2 linked regions of the Schizosaccharomyces pombe genome follow. The protein of the gene in region 2 binds, or shares a complex with, the protein of the main gene of each other region. Each region holds a gene or a part of one and is shown on either strand. Other genes may lie near its edges.

Evidence for each region.
Region 1: ppp1 (region 2) and ytm1 share a complex: the UniProt entries of both Schizosaccharomyces pombe proteins name them as parts of the NOP7 complex.

The regions. Positions count from the first base shown.
Region 1 is NC_003424.3:5,006,249-5,010,690, forward strand, and holds ytm1 (ribosome biogenesis protein Ytm1), read right to left. Parts: upstream 2,631-4,442; 5' UTR 2,610-2,630; coding exon 2,459-2,609; exon of another isoform or gene 2,351-2,458; intron 2,178-2,350; exon of another isoform or gene 2,097-2,177; coding exon 925-2,096; 3' UTR 768-924; downstream 1-767. Other genes in the region: serine/threonine protein kinase Ppk16, read left to right, coding at 1-723; pxr1 (PINX1 family ribosome biogenesis protein), read left to right, coding at 3,559-4,413. UniProt on the Schizosaccharomyces pombe protein: Component of the NOP7 complex, which is required for maturation of the 25S and 5.8S ribosomal RNAs and formation of the 60S ribosome.
Region 2 is NC_003423.3:3,710,803-3,715,712, forward strand, and holds ppp1 (pescadillo-family ribosome biogenesis protein), read right to left. Parts: upstream 2,856-4,910; 5' UTR 2,818-2,855; coding exon 2,796-2,817; intron 2,784-2,795; exon of another isoform or gene 2,758-2,783; coding exon 2,590-2,757; exon of another isoform or gene 2,436-2,589; coding exon 802-2,435; 3' UTR 617-801; downstream 1-616. Other genes in the region: hom3 (aspartate kinase), read left to right, coding at 1-400; nucleolar protein Dnt1, read right to left, coding at 4,398-4,910. UniProt on the Schizosaccharomyces pombe protein: Component of the NOP7 complex, which is required for maturation of the 25S and 5.8S ribosomal RNAs and formation of the 60S ribosome.

The sequences.
Region 1 (4,442 bases), on a different chromosome or scaffold from region 2:
GAAAACTATTTAACTCAAGAAAATTTTGATTCCGATAATTTATCTGAGTCTTTAGACAATTCAGTTGAGAACCTTACCGTGTTTCCTTCGATTAACAGTTTTGGAAGAAGACACTCAAATCTTCCTCAAACAACGCACGTTGATACAGGTGAGCAAAACACACCATTCACTCCTCCTCTTTTAAAAACGGTAAACCTCGACGGTAATAAAGACTTTACCTTCCCCTCGAACTCTCAAAATAGCCCTTCTAAAAGTTCGAACCTCTCAATTAATATTGATATTCCACCTTCTCCTCTGCAAAATACTGTCATATCTCCCCAGCCGACTCGACGATCACGAACTCCCATACGCAGCTTGTCTGGGCGTTCTTCCGTTGCTTCTTCGAGGAATTCATCCCGTACTAGATCCTATTCAAACGTCTCTTCTGCATCTTCAAATTCTTTAATTTCTATTATTTCATCTAAACCTTCCAGTTCGACCGTTCAAAGGCAAACACCTTTTCATTCTCCTTTTGAACGATTGCACAAAAGTTTCCATTTTCCTTCCGGAGAGCCATTTAACACTCGTATAAATGCTACTGCAATTTTTACAGTTGGTTCTGGTAGAAAAAACCCGCAATCATCTTCCTCTCTGATGTTTAATCAAAGCTCAGTCAAAGAGGAAGAGGAGCCGGAAGAAACCAGTTTTTCAGACTCTTCAAAACATTTCACAGACTTGCTCTGAAGCTTAAGTTTATTACACGATTACTAAGCTACGTGGTGTGTATAATTTGAATTATTAACTTATTTTGCTTTAATAAAGTGTTCTCTTAAATAATTTAATCAAACTTTTAATCTCTAGTAGTAATGACCTTGTTCCTTAACTTATCCCGCTTGTACCACACTAAATCATAATCTGTCAATTTTTTTTATGCTACATCTTTTTTCATTCGCTTTTTCCAAAGGATGAGGATTGATTGATTTGAAGTTGTTTGTCAGTACCTCCCGTAACAATACCAATGGATTTATTCCAATCAACAGCGAAAAGTTTATCCCACTGAGAGCCTGTTTTTTCTGCTCTAGAAATTGTGTAAATACTGCCGGATGTAGCACGGACATCCCAAACACGACAAGTGTTATCGTGAGAGACGGATGCAAACATATAGGGATTTTCTGGGCTTGCCGATAATCCGGAAACTAAATTCTTGTGGCCGGATAAAGTATGACTCACAATTTTGTCGCTTCCCGCTCGAGGGTCGTGAACAACAATGTGTCGCGCAGAGGAACCACAAATGACTAAGTGTAGGTCAGTAAGTTTTTCCACGCATAAAAGAGGAGCTTTGGTTATCTTGGAATCAACATTTTGCCCAGTAATGAGATCCCAAGTCTTAATTGTGTGATCTTGGCCTACGGAATATGCAACACTTGGATCATCAGAAAAGACGATATCCATCACCGGTCCAGTATGCCCCTCACAAAGGATCAGCGGAGAGCGAGCCCCAGCTTGAGGTGTGAATTCTGCATTTTTGCGACGTCTCTTTTTAGATATAGACGAGGAAAAGGACTCGAGGGTAGTCTCAGGAGACCTTTCAAAATCCCAAATTCCGACAGTATTATCCGCAGAAGCAGAAATAAAAACGCTTGAAGATTCTAAGGATCGTACGCGCTCAACTATATCCTTGTGCCCTACGAAAAGAGTTTGAAGGATACCGGAGCTTTTCTTTTCAGCATCCAACATTGATTCTGGCTCTTCGATCACCCAATGAAAAATTTTTTGATCAAGTGAAGCAGTGAGAAAACTTTGATTAGGTATATGCCAGGATGCACTTTTTAAAGATGATCCACATCCAGTTGATTGAAATTTTATTTCACCACTTTTATCCCAAACACGAGCTATCCCATCGTATGAAGAAGTAAGAATGGTATCTGAGGTTAGTTGAATACCAGAAATCCAATCGTCATGAGAGAAAGAAGCTAAATATGCAGGTGGTAATGTAGATTGGATATATTCAATATCAAGAATCGACTCCGTAGACAATCCGTTTTGAACTATGTACTCATCGAGAGTAGTTTTTAACAGCTGACCCTGAACCAAAAAATCAAAGGGTGTTGGCTTTTCTAGTAAAGTTAGTAAGGAAATAAATTAAATTAACTAAAAAATCGCAAAATTGTATAGCAATGAAGCAAAACGAGGATGAAAGGTAAAAGAGACAAAAAAATAAAAAAAGGGCTTTTAGTAATGCATCTTCAAGAATTTTACAAAATTTTAAGAAAGGCGTGAAAAAGAACACTAGAGTAACTCTTAGATTCGAGAAGCCCCCATTTGATTCTCGCCAACAAATTTCAGCTTCTACACAGTTTTATAGTAATTGGGCCTTGCATGAGACCAGCTATTCTATTGCTTCAAATTTTCTTCAAGTTGGTTGAATTATGCGACTTTTCTCCTGCTTTGACCCAGTATGTGTTAACTGAAAACATACCTGTTTTTAGAAGATGATTTACAATTTGAGATAAGCCGTACCGCTTTAAAGATGTAGGAACAAAAATCGGCGTGTCACCAACAGCTAAATCCTCATTTCTAGTAGTAAAACGGACTTGAACTTGGCCTGAAGGAGCGCTTTGGGCATCCATTCTGTTGTTGGTGGAAGGAGTGTCGAAAAGATCAAAATTTCCAGTACCAAAAAAATGAGGATAATGACTTTTGGCTGAATTGATCAAGATGTTACGAGACTGTTTTTTAAGAATTTTCAAGTTTAATCAACCCAATTCGTATTCATCGATAGCGGTCCTAATTCAGCTTTTTTTTTTGAGTAGAAAAGTAACAGTTGAACAAAATCTAAGAATAACAAAAATAATATTAGAAGATTTAAAGTATGCTTTAAAAGTAAAAGGATAAACTTTTTTAAAGCTTATTTTTTTCCAGAGTATGCTCGAATTGTAAGATTTAACGTCTTTTGAAATACTTCTTTTAAAACGACTTAAATGATGATTTGACCGGTATTATTTACAGCTCATTATAACATTGTAATTTTTTGGAATGCTTTCACGTTATTTGAAAGAAGATTTCAATTATGCCTTTGAAAGCATCTATAGCGCTTTTAACACATAGCCGGTTTACCAACTGCATATATTCCCTTCTTGAGCCCACCACTTTTCAAGAAATTCCAAGAACCAGTACTTTTCTTTTTTAAAACTTAATAAAGATCTATCAATTTATCCTTTTTCACCAATTTGAGTGCAATACTCGAGAAATTTTGGAGAGTTTCTCAATTAGCGAGAAGACTTTGTTTAGATCGTTGATTTATCGTGTGTTTATATTTTTATAAAAGAAGAGGAGACTCAATTGATTCTATCCTCGAAAAAGGTTTTATTTTGGGAAAGAATTCATCGGTTCTAGGATTTGGTGGGATTTTAGGACTCAGGCTGCTACATATTTTTATGTATATTACTTTGCGCTGTTCGCAATTTTAATTATTTCTTACAATTGATTACTTCTTATAATTTATTCTCATTCTTTTTTGTCCTCTCACATATTGATCGTCGATAAAAAAAAAATTTTATTGAAGATTAACAGGACATCATGGGTTTGGCTGGTGTAAAAAAGAAACAACAGATTGGTGTGGATCCTCGGAATTCTAAATGGGCAAAAGATACAAATAGATTGGGATTTAAGCTTTTATCCTCCTACGGTTGGGTGAATGGTAATGGCTTGGGTGAAAAGCAACATGGTCGCATTCATAACATCAAGGTCAGCCTAAAAGATGATACACTGGGAATTGGAGCCAAAGCAACTAACGATCTTGAATGGAGCGGTTTAGGTGAATTCAACGCTATTTTTGGTCGACTTAACGGCGATGAGTCTGCGTATGGTGTCTATGCTGAGAAAGCAAAGGTGCAGCAACTAACATACGAGAGACAGAGTGCGAATGAGAAGGGTTTAAAATCACTTGAGCTATCCAGACGATTTGTTTTGGGTGGGACGTTTACTAGTGAATTTTCTGAATGGATGCAAAAAGCAGAGGAGGATGAGGATCGTGTATGTGAAGATGCGTCTTCATCCGATGAAGCTAAGCGTGAAAAAAGAAAGAAGCACTCTTCTAAGAAGAAAAGTAAGAAAAAGACCTCTACTGGTTCGGCTCTTGATCCTAAAAAGTTGGAAAAAATAACGAAGAAGAAGAAAAAAGAGCACAAGAAAAAGGATAAGGAAAGTTCTTCAAAAAAGAGAAAATCAGGCTCAAGCGACAAAGAAGAGAAAAAGAAAAAGAAAATAAAATTAAAGGATAAACCAGAGTCCACTTCCTCTGTCGAGAAGGTCAAAGAAGGCAACCGACCCGCTAGCATTCATTTCCATACCAGAAGAAAATTTTTGGCACAAAAGCGAGCAGCAGTAAGCGACCCAGTTGCTTTAAGGGAGATTTTAGGTATTAAAGGTTAGGAAGTGACTTCTTTTGCTATTTTTCTAAC
Region 2 (4,910 bases):
GGCTGTTGACTTGATTACTACTTCAGAAGTTCACGTCTCAATGGCGCTTTACGAAGAGTCTGATGACGGTAATATGCATGAGGCATTCGTTGAATTGCGTCGATTGGGAACGCTTGATATTCTCCATGGTTTAGCTATTCTATCTCTTGTTGGTAAGCACATGAGAAACACTACCGGTTACGCTGGTCGTATGTTTTGCAAACTTGCTGAAGCCCAAATCAACATTGAGATGATTAGTCAAGGTGCTAGTGAAATCAACATTTCATGCGTTATTGACGAGAAAATGGCTGTAAAGGCTCTTAACGTTATTCATAAAGAATTGCTTGAACCCTTAGCTTTACATGAAGTTCCGTCACAGGCCTCGATGTTGGTTGAAAAGCCTTGGCTTTACAGTGCTTAAACGTACTGTAACCTTGAAAGTCAATTTAAAAAATAAAAAAAAAGTGTTGTCTTGCCTTCATTTTTTTGTTCTTTTTGTCTTTAAATATTTTACATTCTCTATTTTAAAATTACCGTGAGTTTTATTTTACTCATTATTATTATTTGTACGTTTATAAATAAATATTGACTACATAAAATTAATATTTTATAATATATCTCAAAAATTGATATTCATCTTCTTTATCTCCCAGTCGAAAAAATGTTAAGCAAAAGTGTATTTATTATATAAAAACGATCAGCTTCAATTAAATTGAACACGAACCTAATCCATGGATACAGTAAAATACAATGAACTCATTTTAAGAAACAAAAAGTAAATGACCCAAAATAATCTATTACTATGATTACTGTTTATTAAACCTAGTTTTCAACCTTTAATTTTTTCCTCTTTTCAATATCCCTCTTCCGATTGCGAAGCGCATTGTTGTAGTTTTCGTTTTTGCTATTTTCGTTTTTCAACTTACTGTAAAGCTTTCTCTGTTTATTACTCATCATCATTTTGGATAACTCCTTTGCCTCTTTTTCTTCTTTTTCTTCTGCAGTCAAAGTATCACGTTGACGCTTCTTAGTCTTTTTCGCGGACTTAGAATTCTGTTTAACATATTCAGAATAAGCGACACCGCCTGCTTCTGCCTCCAGCTCTCGTTGATGTTCTAAGTCTTCCTCTTCAGCGTCATCAATTTGTTCAACATTTTCAGGCTCGTCATTCTTCTTACTTATGGGCACTGCTTCGCCAGAAATATTATCATCAAGAGCTTCGGAAACATCGTCGTTCTCTTCAGCAGAAAGTTCAGCTTCAGGATCGTAGTCATTTTCACCTACTTTAACAAATGGACTAAGATGAGGAGGGAGCGTAGCGCCACAGGCATACAAGTCTGTCCTTTCCAAGATTCCTTTGTTGATAGAGTCGTATACCCATTGTGGTTGAATATATATCCTACCTTCGTACTTCTGTGAAATATGAGGACGATCACATATATGATGAGTAATCACAGGATCAGATTCTGAAAATGGAGAACCTGATCCGAGAATTGGATCCCATCCAACTTTACCACCAAAGGCACGAATCACAAATTCCAGAGAAAAACGGGGGACTTCACGAGAAAGGAAAAAAGTAAAATTAGAAAACAACGAGGTATTAGATGATGAAATATGTGATACTAGGCTTTTGGAATCCTCATTATCTGCACCATCAGCTGGTTTAAACTCATCTAAGTTTTCCTCCGTTTCAGGTTCCTCATCAGCATCCTCAGTAGTTTTTTCCGACTGCTCAACGACGTTCGCATCACTATTCACAATATCTCTTATTTTACTTTTTAAAGTAGCAATATTCTTACGAGCATTTTTGTTATTACCATGGACGATAGCGGGTAAGGAAGAAGACTCCTCTAACTCATAAGCTGCTAAACCAGCGGCAGATTCGCTTTTAGCAACATCAATCTTAGGGGGATAACGAAGTCCCAAGGTATTATATAACTTGAAATTTACAAACCCCATAAGTGCTTGATAAAATTCCAAAAAAGTGTGCATGATACGAAAATCAACATCGGTAGGAACAGATTGAGCAAATTTGTAGGGAACAATCCAGGTGATTTGCTCACCAAAAATCTCGGCCTGATAATAAATTCCTTTAATAGAGAGGAAAGCTTTACGAAGGGAATTTGACCGAATTACATAGTGTTGAAATTCAGCACATAATCTTTCACAATTAGCGACAGTAGCGGCACCAATCTTGTCGGTAACAGGCATAGTTGAAAATAAGAACAGCATACTAAGAGCATCATCAATATCTTTCAAGGCATCATGGAAGGTTGGGTAACGCTCTTTAATGATATGATCCAAAGAATAAGTGGGTTTTCTGGCCTCTAAACGTTTAGCAGTTTCTAATTCCCCTTTTCCCAATGCTTTGCTAAGCTTGCGAGCGAACACTTTGTACTCGCGAAACTTCTGTACAATAGGCTCATGTAACAAATACTGGATATCCTTAGTATAATCTATTATATTTATTAGTACATAATTTCATTCTTTTAGTTCATCAAAAAAAGACTAGCCCATGATAAAATTGACCATTCGGAAAATGCTTTTTATACCAAACGTCCATGTTCAGATAGCTATGATTCCGGTAAAAATTGATGCTATTAGACTTACAGAAAGTGACTGGAGCAGTGGAGCCTTTATTTGCTTTTTTCTTATTTTTTGGCTCACGAGGATAAACACCCTTTAAAATACAAATACGACGAAAATCAGCAAGAGTGAGCTGAAGCTTCTTAAGCGCTTGATTTCTCGTAATGTAGATACGAGCTGCACCTGCTTTCCCTGTTTTCAATTAGAAAATTTTTTTACAAGCTACATACCTTTCTGTTTTACCCTCGCCATTTCTTCAATTTGATGGCTTTTTGCAGAAAGAGGGTGTTGGAAGAATTTTGCAAAATCCAAAATCCTTCATACAGACTAGCTTAGCTCTCTGCACTGCGTAAATGGTGTTAGATGGTAGTATTATCTCACAGCGCTAAATTTTCTTATACTATTTTACGTTAAATTTCGCTATATTTGTGTTTTTCCGTACTTTTGAGATAAATCTTTGCGGCAAGGGACTAATTGATTTTTGATAAGTTTGTAAAGGTCTTGTAATTTAAAATAACTATCAAAACTTCTACAATTACTCCAAGTGAATCAATGTTCGACGATTTAGTTGTTAGCTACTCAAGTAAGTTATAATCTTAAGCAATACAGTAGTGATATATTAAAGTATTTATGTTTATTACATTTTACGGTAAATAAACAAATCTTCAGGTACGCAGCTAGGCATCTGTTTTAACGACAGGTAGAGTTGCGATGAGTCTTCCTTGTGATTTATTAAATTATATAGTACGCATATGATATATATAGCAATTTGTAATAGATATTCTTATATTCAGGTTACGTCGTTTTCTGTCACTAAAATATTATTATATGAGCCTCGCTCCTCAGTTCAGTTGTAGCTTCCATTTATCATTTTTATAATAATTTATATCAACGGTTTTTGTGTTAAATAGATAGACGGGTATACGCAGTTATTAATAATCTGATTTCACTTCAACTTATGGCATACAAAGTTACTCAACGTTGAATAACATAGCATAGTGTATCAGCGCTGAGATTTATGAGACCGTATGTATATGTTTGTGTAAAGGGAAAATTCACCCAATTTATCGTATTGCTAAAGCACTTTATAGTAAGAGTGTGATAAGTTTCTTTTCGATCATCTTACTTTTATAGAGCTATTATTTTACTACAAATAAATAAGTTCGTTCACTTTGCATAATATCAACTATACGCAGTTAGTTTGCCCGGATCAAGAAATTCATGTTTAGCTGGTCTTCGTTATAAACATACTAAAGAATAGAAAGATTTTACTAATATCAGTTTTTGTTAACACTATTGAACCATTATGAGTAATGTCGAGGGTAAAGTAATTACTATACAACAAATAATGGCATTTTTTGTGAATTTAGGTACTGCCTATAATAATATAAATACTAAAGCTCGTGAAAATATTTGAATATTGTAATCTAATTTGTTCTTTTTTTTTACGAATTTTAGTCCGGAAAATTTTACTAATATACTAATTACTGTCATTGTCTGGTCTCCTGTTTCCTACAACTAGCAGTTTTAATTTTACAATCAGTCATCAAAAAAGGATTTGAAATGAAGCAACTTAATGGACATTAAAGAACGTTCCATTTAGAATTTCAACATCTTTTTATCAGCATCAAAGTTAAATCAAGTTTTGCTAGCTAATTAACATGTAATTTTATTAATAAGTCAAAATTATGCAGAAAGCCAAGAAAACTAAATTTATTATATACGCAATATGATAGCACAACAACGCTATTACAGAATTCTTTTGCTATTGGACTTATGATGAAAAAAAAAAAAAAAACGAGCGTAAAGGGAGTTAATCAAAAACAAGAAATTTACACTAGGGCCGCCAAGCCAGCCAAAGCACTGTTTCTTTTGGCTTTCCTCTTTTTCTTTGTATTTAGTACAGTACTTGCTCTTTTCTCAACGGGAATAGGATTGGATCTATCTTCCTTCTCCGAATTGTCGCTTTCATCTGAAGAACTCCCTGACTCTTCACTTTCAGAAGATTCATCAGAACGCCCTTCTTCTTTTGATTCCTGCATACTGACCGCGGTCTTCTTCGTAAGAGAAGGTTCTCTAATTTCAGGAGAAAACGTTTTAGACAATTCTGAAAGACGTGAGTAAGACAATGTCCTATGAGTCTCCGGTCTTTCCGTAGAAGGCTTAGCTTTAGGTTCCTTCGGGGATCCTTTGGTTCCTCTATTCTGTATCTCGTGAGATACAGAATTTCGTTGTTGTGATTTCTTCTGTAGTTGACTTAAAGGAACAGAGGAGTCCGAGTCTGAATCCGAATCTGAATCATTTTCAGAACCAATCTCATCAGAAGGTTCATTTCCCGCTGCAGA